Kluyveromyces lactis: one gene and its partners. The protein of the gene in region 2 interacts with the protein of the main gene of each other region in a pairwise test. Links are inferred from orthologs where the notes say so. Each region holds a gene or a part of one and is shown on either strand. Other genes may lie near its edges.

What was found.
Region 1: the proteins of PMC1 (region 2) and FTH1 interact in binary tests that used the Saccharomyces cerevisiae proteins (3 or more experiments, as listed by UniProt). The link is inferred for Kluyveromyces lactis from reciprocal best matches to the Saccharomyces cerevisiae genes PMC1 and FTH1.
Region 3: the proteins of PMC1 (region 2) and SNA4 interact in a protein complementation assay, tested with the Saccharomyces cerevisiae proteins (2 studies listed by BioGRID). The link is inferred for Kluyveromyces lactis from reciprocal best matches to the Saccharomyces cerevisiae genes PMC1 and SNA4.
Region 4: the proteins of PMC1 (region 2) and YPQ2 interact in a protein complementation assay, tested with the Saccharomyces cerevisiae proteins (2 studies listed by BioGRID). The link is inferred for Kluyveromyces lactis from reciprocal best matches to the Saccharomyces cerevisiae genes PMC1 and YPQ2.

Annotation. Positions count from the first base shown.
Region 1 is NC_006042.1:2,588,490-2,591,854, forward strand, and holds FTH1 (Fth1p), read left to right. Parts: upstream 1-1,513; coding exon 1,514-2,836; downstream 2,837-3,365. Other genes in the region: MFM1 (Mfm1p), read left to right, coding at 1-977. UniProt on the Saccharomyces cerevisiae protein: High affinity iron transporter probably involved in transport of intravacuolar stores of iron.
Region 2 is NC_006037.1:780,511-784,559, reverse strand, and holds the start of PMC1 (calcium-transporting ATPase PMC1), read left to right. Parts: upstream 1-1,191; coding exon 1,192-4,049. UniProt on the Saccharomyces cerevisiae protein: This magnesium-dependent enzyme catalyzes the hydrolysis of ATP coupled with the transport of calcium. Transports the calcium to the vacuole and participates in the control of the cytosolic free calcium.
Region 3 is NC_006042.1:563,902-566,093, reverse strand, and holds SNA4 (Sna4p), read left to right. Parts: upstream 1-1,227; coding exon 1,228-1,641; downstream 1,642-2,192. Other genes in the region: KLLA0_F05896g (zinc finger CCHC domain-containing protein), read left to right, coding at 1-89; GID12 (Gid12p), read right to left, coding at 1,805-2,192.
Region 4 is NC_006041.1:1,930,532-1,933,235, forward strand, and holds YPQ2 (Ypq2p), read right to left. Parts: upstream 1,487-2,704; coding exon 527-1,486; downstream 1-526. Other genes in the region: KLLA0_E21671g (uncharacterized protein), read right to left, coding at 2,073-2,704. UniProt on the Saccharomyces cerevisiae protein: Amino acid transporter that moves arginine across the vacuolar membrane. Active during nitrogen starvation when it exports stored vacuolar arginine to the cytosol, for use as a nitrogen source.

The DNA of each region.
Region 1 (3,365 bases), on a different chromosome or scaffold from region 2:
CGTCCATCGATCTACGAAGAGATGAGCTCATACACACACATGGACTCCTACCCCGAGACTTGCGAAAGGTTGAAAAATCGAGGAGAAATGACTTGGTTCCCAGTGTTCTTGTGCGTGAGAATAGCATTTTGGTTAGTATATTGAACATTAGGGCTTTGGTAAAATCAGACATGTTAATTCTTTTCGATTCGATGGGTATAAAATTGGATTCGGTTTCTCAACAGAATTTCATTGCGGATTTACAACTGAGATTACAAAATAGAAGCGGTTTTGAGGTACCAGATGTTGTGAATAAAGATCCTTTGCCTTACGAGTTTAGAGCAGTAGAGTCCATTTTTATTTCGGCTATATCTAACCTTAACGCAGAGCTCAAGGTTCACCTGAATGTTTCAACGGGTATTTTGCAAGACTTAGAATATAGTATTACTAGAGATAAGCTACGGTATCTTTTGATTCAAAATAAGAAACTTAGCGTCTTTCACAAAAAATCTTTCTTGATGAGAGAAATGATTGAAGAACTATTAGAGCAAGATGATGTCTTGTGTGAAATGTACTTGACTGAGAAACAATTAGGGAAGCCTAGAGAAGAGCATGATCATGCAGAAATTGAAATGCTTTTAGAAACTTATTACAATCATGTCGATGAAATTGTTCAAACTGTAGGAAATACAATGTCCAATATCAAAACTACAGAAGAAATAATCAATATCATTCTTGATTCAAATAGAAATCAATTGATGTTACTTGGATTGCGTTTCAGTATTGGTTTACTCTCGTTAGCCGGTTCTATTTTTATTGCCTCAATCTACGGTATGAACTTAGAGAACTTTATAGAGGAAGGTAACGTTGGATTCCCCGTGGTATCGACATTGGGGGTTATTCTAATGGCATATCTGTTTGCATTCTCCGTCAAACATTTACACAAGTTGGAAAAGGTTCAGTTAATGAGTCATGGAAAAAGCTCTACGCTAAAATAAAACTATTCGAATAAGTGCTCCTAACGTATTGTGTAAATACTCAAGTTAGGGTAGCATTGGATTTTCCAGCTCTTAAATGTTTTATGAATGTTGTGTATATATAATGTGACATATAAGCATCTAATGCAATTCGCATTAGAATACATACTACTCGACTGCTTCTATCTTTGTTCCAGCGAAAAACACCTGGCAGAATATGATATTAAGGTATAAGCAGTAGTGAAACGGATTGAAACTGTCCGATATTCTAGAATGTTTCACGACTGTATGTTAATATGCAGTACCAACCTATTGTTAAGTTTAACGTATCTTCATTACCCGGGAGAACGATTGTATCACGTGATCAAGGTCGTTTTTGTCCTGGCTCTTGAATGGGGTGCAAAAAATACAATTGAAGACTGGAAAGAAATACTATTATTACATTTGAGATTGAATCATTATAGAAATTTGATAACGGGCTATAAACTGGTTCTGGTTGACAACATCCACGTAAGCGACGAAACTTATAAGCTAGTATAAAGGATCTTTTATTCAAGATGTCAAAGTCAAGTTTTGAGAATTATTTCTCGTTTCAAATTTTTTTCATCTTCTTGAGAGAGTCGTTAGAGATCATCATAATCGTTTCCATCTTGTTGACAATCGTCAAACAAGCCTTATTCTCGCATGATACCACCGCTGAATCCGATACAGAGTCTTCAAAAAATGCTGCCCCGGTTACCATTCAAGAGGAAGAAGCTTCAGATTTATTATTGAGAGTTAATGACTCCGATTCTCCAAATCTAGGTCTAGAAGTTGATAACCAGCAGTTATATAAAAAACTAAAACTTCAAATCATTTCTGGAGGTTTGTTAGGCCTTTTGGCATGTATGTTTATTGGTGGTGGATTTATTGTGGCATTTTATTATGTTGGCACGGATTTGTGGTCTATGAGTGAACATTATTATGAAGGTGTTTTAAGCGTTATTGCGTCTGTCATCATTTCAGTTATGGGATTGTTCTTCTTAAGAATGGGTAAACTTAGAGAGAAGTTCAGAGTTAAATTGGCATCCATCATTTACTCAGACAAATTACTTCCGATGGAAAATGGCGAAAGCAAAGCTAAAAGTTTCAGCGAGAAATACTCATTATTCATCCTACCATTTGTTACTTCTTTGAGAGAAGGGCTAGAGGCTGTCGTCTTCATTGGTGGTATCGGTATCGATAGTCCATTAACCTCTATTCCACTATCGATGCTTTCTGCTACGGCGATCTCGGCAATTTTCGGTGTATTCTTCTTCAAATACTCAAAGTCGTTTTCATTGCAAATTTGCCTTGTGGTAACAACATGTTTCCTATATCTTATTGCCGGCGGATTATTCTCCAAGGGTGTATGGCAGTTTGAACTTCAGAAGTATGTTGATGCTTGTAACGGTCAAGATATGAGCGAAGTTGGAAACGGTCCAGGTTCTTATGATATCTCGCGTTCGGTATGGCATGTTAACTGTTGTAACGGTGAAAGGGATGGATTTTGGATGATTTTGACCGCCATTTTTGGATGGACTAACTCAGCTACCTATGGTTCAGTTAGCAGTTATATTATGTACTGGTTAATTGTTATCGCTGTTATAAAGCTAATGATGCTCGAAGAGAAACATGGATATATTCCATTTTTGCCTGTCAGTCTACAAAGAAGGAGAATGAACAAAAGATTATCTATTATTGAAAAGTCTCTTGCACTCAAATCTCAATCATCCACGAGTGGCTGGAACTCATCTTCCACTACCAAAAACTTGCCTGATATTCCGAGAGCTTCATCGGATACTCACAATAGCTCTAGCCTCCTGTTAGATTCTAATTCGCCTGCTCAAGGTTATCAGTGATGAAATAGTTAGCTATTATTCTTCAAAGTTGCATGTAAACGAATCATTTTCTTGCGTACGCAGTTGCTCCATTTGGAAAAGTTACTTAAGAGAAATACTATATACTATTTAGAAATTGCTGTTGTAATATAACACATTACGTTGGATTATAACAAGTATTGACTGTTTTTAAAGGTGACGGCATGTCAATGTGGGCTGCTGCATGATTACTTACATATTTCTTTTTGGCATATTCTGTCGTTTGTTTGAATACAATGTTCCCTTTTGTACTTAAATTCGAAAAGTCCTTCAATTCGGCCAAAAAAAAATGAGCAAAAAATAAAGATATGATCACCAAAATCTGGGGTAGCGGGACAGTATATATTACAATAAACACCGAAAGCGGTTCACTTGTTTCTAACTTCAGCTTCACTCAGTGAAAACCCGATGTACATGCCGCTGTTATACAAAATCAAAGATTTCACTTCATAACTATAATATCTGTGCACACAGCAGGTTTAATGTCTCACTCAGTGTGTATTGCCTGTGA
Region 2 (4,049 bases):
TACCGAAGGTTTACAGTTGGTCCATGAGCGATGAGCTGCCTGGCTGTTTGCTTGAATGCATGTATGTATACTGTTCAAACCAAATGCTGTCTACTGGCCTTAATTATTCCGATGAGCGAAAAAAAGAAAAAAGTTGATGCGATTTTTAACAAAGCTAGACCGGAAAGGGCGATTCACAAGCGACACAGTAGCAACTAGCAAGTGACATAGTCCGGTGAAACTGTAAATCAATTGTAGAACACATAGGCTACAGACCAGACAAAAAAACTTCCGTCAGCTACATGGAAAATGATACTGTGCAGACTCTTTTGATGTGGCTTAGCAAGATAGCTTGCGATACCGTGGGTACGTATACCACATTCGGCTGGCTTCTTCCGCCTCTCTCACTTCCTTTGCGGGGGGTAATCTCGTTATATCCAGAATCAGATATCAAACACTAAGCCTAGCCTCAATTCCAATTGAGTAAGGGTCCATTCTCTTTTTTTTTCCCCTTCATTACCACTGTGGAATCATTAAAGTAAGCGAGATGGCCAGCCACCCTGTGGGAAATTGACACTCTAGAACCATTTATCCAATATCCATATGCAGGGCACTATCACACCAATTTTTCATCATCCATATATTCCCAGGCTGGAAAAATCAGCTGCCAATTACTACATCTGATTAAGTAGGTACCGTAGTTGCATATTCTGTATGATTACGAAATGTATATAGACTACTAAGCCCCGAAAGTTTGTAACAGGAAAAAAAACAAAAAAACAGAAAACCGAAAGATCAAGACTAATAGAATGCATCTTTTCAAGGCTGCGACCCTTCCTCAACTTTATCCTTATCCTAATTCATCGTAATCATAAGCTTTCCGGACATTTTTATGCTTTTATCGTTTTATGTTTGCTGAATGGGTTTGTCATATATATAGATTAACTTGAATCATTAATTCCACGCATTAAAGGCTTTCATTGGCACTGGAAAACTAACAAAAGAAGAAATCGTTATTAAGAAAGGAAAAAGAACAAGAATTGGCTTACAGAATACATTCCTTGGCGTGCTAATTGTTGATTTGATTATAATATTCAGAAGAAAGTTCTCACTTTTTTGTGTTAAAGTTTTTAGAAAGGGCAATTCATATTAACCCTGTGGTGCTCTCTCCTACCCTGCTAACTGACAGGTTATTTCTTTAGCGACTTGAGTATGAGCTCTTTGAATGAAGGCGTTGATGAAGCACACAGCCCTTCTCTTACCGGTAGGGAAAGTTTTGTTGGGTTACAGAGTAAGAAAGATGAGAATAAAACTGTAGAGACTGAAGAGCAAACTAGACCTCTCAACAAAGGGGTTACATCCACCTCAATAGGTGCCGTTAAACCTTTAAAACATCACGACACTCAAATTACCATGATGTCTGTGAATAGAATGACCAAGGCGTCGAGTTTCAAGTTGGCTCCATCTCAGCTTTCGGAATTACACGATCCCAAATCACTAACTGCCTTCAATAACGTATTCGATAATGACGAATCTAATTTGTATACTTATTTGCAAACGGATCGTACCAATGGTCTTACTATACAAGACGAGGATATCGAGTCCCTAGAGAGAACTCAGGTGTATGGATTGAATAGAATTCCTGAACGGAAAGGGAAATCTTTCCTACGACTTGTGTGGGAAGCATTCAACGACAAGACTATGATTTTGCTTACTGTTGCTGCAGTGATTTCTTTCGCTTTGGGTCTTTATGAGACTTTGGGTCAACCTCCAGAATACGATCCTGAGGGTAATGAAATCGTTAAAGTTGAATGGGTCGAAGGTGTGGCTATTATGATTGCTGTTGTTGTTGTGGTATTAGTGGGTGCAATTAACGATTATCAAAAAGAGTTACAGTTTGCAAAACTAAACAAAAAGAAAGATGATAGAGATGTGGTTGTGATAAGAAACGGTGATGAACATCTTATTTCTATCCATGACTTATTGGTGGGAGATGTAATATCGCTTCAAACAGGTGATGTGGTGCCTGCGGACGCTGTATTAATCTCAGGATCCTGCGAATGCGATGAATCCGCACTAACTGGTGAATCGGACACCATAAAGAAGGTAGCATTGAAACCTGCGTTGGAAAAGTACAAGCAGATTTTTGAGAAGGATCCCACTATCGATATTGGTAGTCACGGTGTAGGTGAAAAGGTTCCAGATCCACTATTGATTTCCGGATCCAAACTGCTATCCGGTATTGGTAATGCTGTTATCACATCCGTTGGTGAAAACTCTGTTAATGGTAGGATTATGATGGCTTTGAAGACGGAATCAGAATCCACTCCTTTACAGGAAAGATTATCCAATTTAGCTGATAATATATCCATTTATGGTTGTATGGCAGCACTTGTCCTTTTCATCATTCTCTTCATTAGATTCCTCACTTACTTACCTAACGGGAAAAAATACCATGATCTACCGCCTGCTCAGAAAGGTTCCAAGTTTATGAACATTTTCATCACTGCTGTTACGGTTATCGTGGTTGCTGTTCCAGAGGGTTTACCACTTGCTGTTACCTTGGCATTAGCCTTTGCTACAACAAGAATGACCAAGGACGGGAACTTGGTTAGAGTTCTAAGAGCATGTGAGACAATGGGGTCTGCAACTGCCATTTGCTCAGATAAAACCGGTACTTTGACAGAAAATAGGATGACAGTGGTAAAAGGGTTTGCTGGTAACTTGGGCTTCGATGATACAACTCACGCTGAGAACAAAGAAATCAAGTCTGCTGTCGTTTTACGTTCAAATTGTGATGCAAGCCTTCTAACTGATATCTTGTCAAACATCTCATTGAACTCGACAGCATTTGAGAATAAAGAAAGTCAACATAAAGATAAGGATGTGGATGAAAACCCTTATCATAAAAGCAGAAAAAGTCTGTTCCCTTGGAGTAGAAACAACAGGACTTCACAATTGATTGCCGATGCAATGAAAGAAAATGATGAACAATTTCTCGGTTCTAAAACTGAAACGGCATTGTTGGCATTTGCTCAGAAATCCTTAGGGATGAAAGACGTGCATAAACTTAGAACTAAACCTTCAGATTTAGGTATTGATAAGGTGGTGCAGGTCATTCCTTTTGAAAGTTCTAGAAAATGGGGAGCTATTGCTGTTCAGTTAGCGGATAACAAAGGGTATAGATTTTATGCCAAAGGTGCCGCCGAAATATTATTGAAGGTATGTTCTAACCAGAGAAACTCCGACAACTCAATAGTACCAATGAATCAGGATTTATATGATGAGTCCTTCAAAAAGATTCAAGATATGGCCTCTCATGCGCTCAGAACAATCTCTCTAGTTCACAGAGATTTCAAAGAATGGCCTCCCAAGGAATTTGCAGATAGCACGGACCCCTCGATAGCTTCACCAGATCTGGTTATGGGTCACGAGTTGGACCACAAGAACTTGTCCAGCGAAGGCATGACCCTTGATGCTATGGTCGGTCTACAAGATCCACTACGTGAAGGTGTTAAGGAATCCGTGGAACAATGTCAAAGAGCAGGTGTTACTGTTCGTATGGTCACTGGTGACAATATTTTAACTGCAAGAGCCATCTCAAGAAACTGTAATATTCTTTCCGAAGAGGGTTACAACGATCCAGAATGTGCAATGGAAGGACCGACATTTAGAAAGCTACCATATAAAAAAATGTTGCGTGTGATTCCAAAACTTAGAGTGCTTGCAAGATCTTCCCCTGAGGATAAACGAATTTTGGTTGAAACTTTGAAAAAAATGGGCGAAGTTGTTGCTGTTACTGGTGATGGTACAAACGATGCCCCTGCTCTAAAGTTGGCCGATGTCGGATTTTCAATGGGTATATCTGGTACAGAAGTGGCCAGAGAAGCATCTGATATTATCTTAATGACAGATGATTTCACCGCTATTGTTAATGCAATTAAGTGGGGTAGATGTGTTTCTGTGTCCATAAAGAAGTTCATCCAATTCCAGCTTACCGTTAACATTACAGCAGTTATCTTAACATTTGTTTCTGCTGTCGCCTCGGCAGAAGAAACTTCTGTGTTGAC
Region 3 (2,192 bases), on a different chromosome or scaffold from region 2:
TTCCTCGTTATGGGAGCAGCTCATATCAACCCTCAAACGATAGATATAGAAAGTATAACTCCTACTCCGGTTTCAAAAAGAGAAGGTGATTCAATATAGATACCCCAAATACATATATATGTGTAACCAAGTCTCGTCTCAGAAGAATAGCAGAGATTTTGAACAATATTGTACTAACTAGCGTAATTTATGGAAAGATGAAAAAATAGTTGCAAGCCAACTGCGTTTTCTCGGCTGCTGTTTCCGCGAGGCTTATATATTAGGCTTTCCACAGACACTAGTACTTGTCAAATAATAAACTGAGCCAAAAATAGAGAGCGATAAAAATAATGGTTCCTAGCGGGATCGAACCGCTGATCCCCGCGTTATTAGCACGGTGCCTTAACCAACTGGGCCAAGGAACCAAATTTGTTGGAAATGTCGTAATATAGACTGAGGACAAGCCAGACGAGAGGTCATGTGGGCTAGCCAGCACACGGCAGAGTTCCAAGACGTCAGTGACTGGGCATATGGATCCTGTGGTATCCAGAGGGATGGCATAGATGGATCATAGACTGTCACGTGATGGTCTTGAGTGCGCGTGGAGGACGGTAGCTGCACAGGACCTACAAGGGCATGGAGGCAACGAGTTGCCATGACGAAGTCTGACGACCATCCGAGTATATAAGTCGAGTATAAAAGGCTGAGCTATGTTGCGACCTCTTGGGGAGGTTGGATGCAACAAGAGAAAGAAGAGCAAGGACGCATAAACTCAACGATCTAACTAAATAGATTATTATATTATATTCGTTATATTGTTTGATATCAACGATCCCTCATCAGGCGATTAATCAATCAACTATCATCCAAAGCATATCACTACAGAAAAACAAAAATTCTAAGATGTACGTGTATACTTAATTTACCATGTGACTTCATTTTCCTTCCATGTTGATTTAGATAACGAGATATAGCTTGTCAAAGGGGTGTCAAGATATACATTCGCTACTGGCTTTCAAAAGCCTGTACTTGTTTCGGTATAAGCATTCACAAATGGTCTATGTGGCTTCAATCATTTTTGTCATATGTATGGCGTTTCCCATAGTTTTCTTTAGTTGATAATTGTCAAAATTTGAACAATGAATCATACCTATTAATCATCTCAATTCACAACATTGGGATACAGAAGAAGAGCCTCGTAGGTTTCCCTTATACTCCCAGCAGTGTATTATCAAAAGCTTTTGAAACATGTGTCTGTGCTGTATCTGCTGTACTGTATCAGATTTGATACTTTATATTGTTGCCATAATATTCCCACCGATTGCCGTGGGATTGAGATCGGGTTTATGTTCCAGTGACTTACTATTAAACGTGTTGCTAACTATGTTTGGGTTCCTCCCTGGAATGATTCATGCTTTTTATTATATTACCGTCACGTCACCGCTAAGGACGGATACCGAAACACGTTATTATTATGAGCAAGGGTGGAATGACGGACAAAGATATGGAAGCCCATCTGCGGTAACGACCGTTTCTCATCAACCCACTGGTGTAGAAGATCCTCTATTGCCAAGAACTCAGATTCCTCTAAGATATGAACCAAATAACTACGCTCAGGATGTGCCAAAGGGTTCTCCCCCACCATACACAGAAAGTGTATGATTAGGGGCGGTTAATTATCAGCACCTCATTTTTTTTTTACTTCTGCTATTTCATGATTGTTGTACATCTTCTACAAGGATTACCATTATATTAATTAGGGTTTATATTAGCTGCTATTCACGTAAACGTATAGATTATTTTGACTTACATTGTTGAAAGACTTCTAAGTTTTGGATCTTTTATTCATTTTAAAAACCTCAGGAATTACCATTCCAGCGTCTCTTTTATTGGATAGTGAGTAGTTTGTAATCAATATTTGGTCAACAAAGTTATCCGATTGTTGCGTTCTCAAACTATCTAATATCTTCATAGTACCTAATCGTTGGCCAACTTTGAATTCACCCCTCAGTAGTGCGATATCTCCCGTTAACGTTGTTAAGATGGAATAAAACTCAATATAATAGTCAGAACCATCTTGTTTGAACTGATTTAAAACTAACCCAATATCATTCACTATTCCTACACGGAAGTTTATTACTTTAACAGCCCCGACATCGTTATGTAGTAGATTCCTTGTACTTCTTAGCTGAAATCTATCCACCAACAATATT
Region 4 (2,704 bases), on a different chromosome or scaffold from region 2:
GCGTGCAGTGACTTCCCAATCAAGCCACACTGTATTAATTTGCCTTCGCTCTTTCCCACATAATGGAACCTTGATTCCGGATGCTAGTGCTGATATTGCTATGTTGCGAGCTACGATTTGCTAAGAAACGAGTAAAAGAAAAAAAAGGCAACACAGAAGAAGACACAGTAGCAACAATAATTGTTATGTGAGTAACGGTTGTTCCCTCATTTATCCGATGCTCTTGAACGTAAGTCCCGGTGTCGATATTTTACGATACTTTTCGCCCTCTTATTACACGGTGTTATTCCGTTGTTGAAAAGGCAGTGGTTCAGTCCAGGGGCATGGAGTAGTCACGCTGTGCCACGGACTGGTGTGCTCCATGACAAATGACATGATCGGTCCCATATTCAAAGCAGGGCATTGAGAAACCGGTCAGTAGTGCCGGTGTTTTCGAAGTTTCAAGCTCGAGAAATGATTACATATAATTATTCTGTGAATATATACGTATATGTGCACATTGGTGTGGGGAAGAACACAGAAATTGTTAATAGGAATTGGTTGATAGGGGGGAAACCGTTCCGTCATTCATCAATGGAGTGAACTCGTCAGATTCAAGTCTTCTAATGTTGTAGTCTTCCGCGTACAAAACGTAGTGTTGGTAGAAGTAGATCAAATCGAACACTACAGTGCCTGCGCTCCCCACGATAAATGGTAATGCATTGAGTACGAAACCTAGCTTGTCCTCATCTGTGAGATAAGAGCAACTGGTGAAAATGGATAGTGTGTATGTGACATTTGCAATTAACGTACTTATAAAGAGGAGGGGTGAAAGCCCATCAGTACTCTTCCTTTTGTAATTCTTGATCAATTGTGGAATTCTGGCACAGAAATAGGACATTGCTCCGACCCAGGATGCCAATTGACCAATAAAGCTTGTATGGGGTGGTTCAATAGGCACAACGGGCGACGGACGGTGCTTACTAAACGGAAAAACTGTTTCGGATCCAGTAATGGCTTGAGCAATGGACACGACAGGCATCGGGAACCCTTGAACAGTTCCAGGCTGACTGACGAAGAATGATAAGATCCACCATTTGAACCCGCGTTGCAATTGAATACTGGGGTTTGAACCACGGCTTCGTACCAAACGTGTTCGTTCTTCTAAAGTAGCAGACTCATGGCCTGGAGTCGCTAGCTGATTCCGGTGTAAAATACCGTAGTAATAGTATTGACCACATATCAACATGTCATTAGACAAATAATAAACTGCCAAAAGAATCTGGAATGGGAGTTGATGAGTAAGTACAGCTCCAATTAAACTGGTTATATCCCCGAAAAGCCAGCATAATAGAAATCCTGGTGATAACCCTTCAACACTCTTGTCACGATAAGTTTCTATCAGTTGTGGGATTTGAGCGACGAACGAAGTTAAAAACGAAATCCCTCCTGAAGCAACACTAATTTGAGGCCATAGCGATTTATCGCACCAGGTCGGATCACTCATGTTATCAGTTTTCCTGTATTGTCACTTAAAAAAGGCTGTTCTTAATGTTACAGCCCTTTATCCTCGAATATTCTAAGTCTTGTCTTCTTGTTCCTCTTCCTTGTTACATATCAAACCATATATGTAAATTCCAAATTTTTTTTGAAGATCCTTCCTTTATCTTTCTATTCTTCATAACAATTAAAACTTTCGAGTCATATGCCTTTCTTGGTAGTGATGAGAATAATAGTGGTAATATAGAGGGAGCGCCCTAGTTATACCTCCCATGATAGTAGAACATGATCCTTATATAATGTTTGTAAGATAGGACGTCATTTTGGAGGACAATTATTTTGCTGTGAAATTATTTATTTACGATGAATTTCACGCTCTTTTCATGGACTCATAAAGGGATTCTAAATTTTCATGCATGGAACGACACCAATTATATGTAAGAAAAAAGAAGAACTCAACAATGATATAATACAACGTGTGCGTAATTGTGTTCGATGTTTGGTGTTTGTGTATATATATAGCTTCTTATACATAGCATGGTTGTGAAAGCTTTTGCTGTAGTGTCACGTTCGCACGGCTTTCCAGTGTCATACTAGAATTTGGCATAATAGTGATTCCATTTCTTAATAAATACCAAATATTGGTCACTCACCGGTTCGCGATTGTCAACTGGTTTTACTAATTGGAATGACGGTGGTAGTTCGTCTAGATGAAGTAGATTGTTCCAGCCAAAATGGTACCTTAGCAAAACGTTTAAAGAGAGAGAGCACAAGACTTTATAATTCACAACGATATACTTTTCTTTAAAGGTGTCCCAATCAGTATTCCGTAGCTGATGTTGCCACTCTTCTGTCCAGCGTGATGCTCTGGCGTTCTCTGCTACAATTATATCCATGATCCATATAAATAGATCGTGATCTACTCGAGCCAGACAGTTCCAGAATGTCATATAGTTCAAGTACCTTGAGTCGAATTCTTCCGCAAAGGCTGAATCCTTTCTCATGTATCTCCCGACTACACCATCCCTGTTCATTATACGATTATCGTATTTATCCCTTGTAATTGAGTTGAAACAAGTCAGTTGTAGCAGGTTTGCTAGCTTCCAGATTAGCTCTAGGTCGTATCCCTCTAAAAGGAAATGGAGCATCAAATAGTTATCTCCAGTCTGTAATCCGAATCTAGAGATTGACTTCCACTGCAATAACTTGATCAGTTTTGATCTTA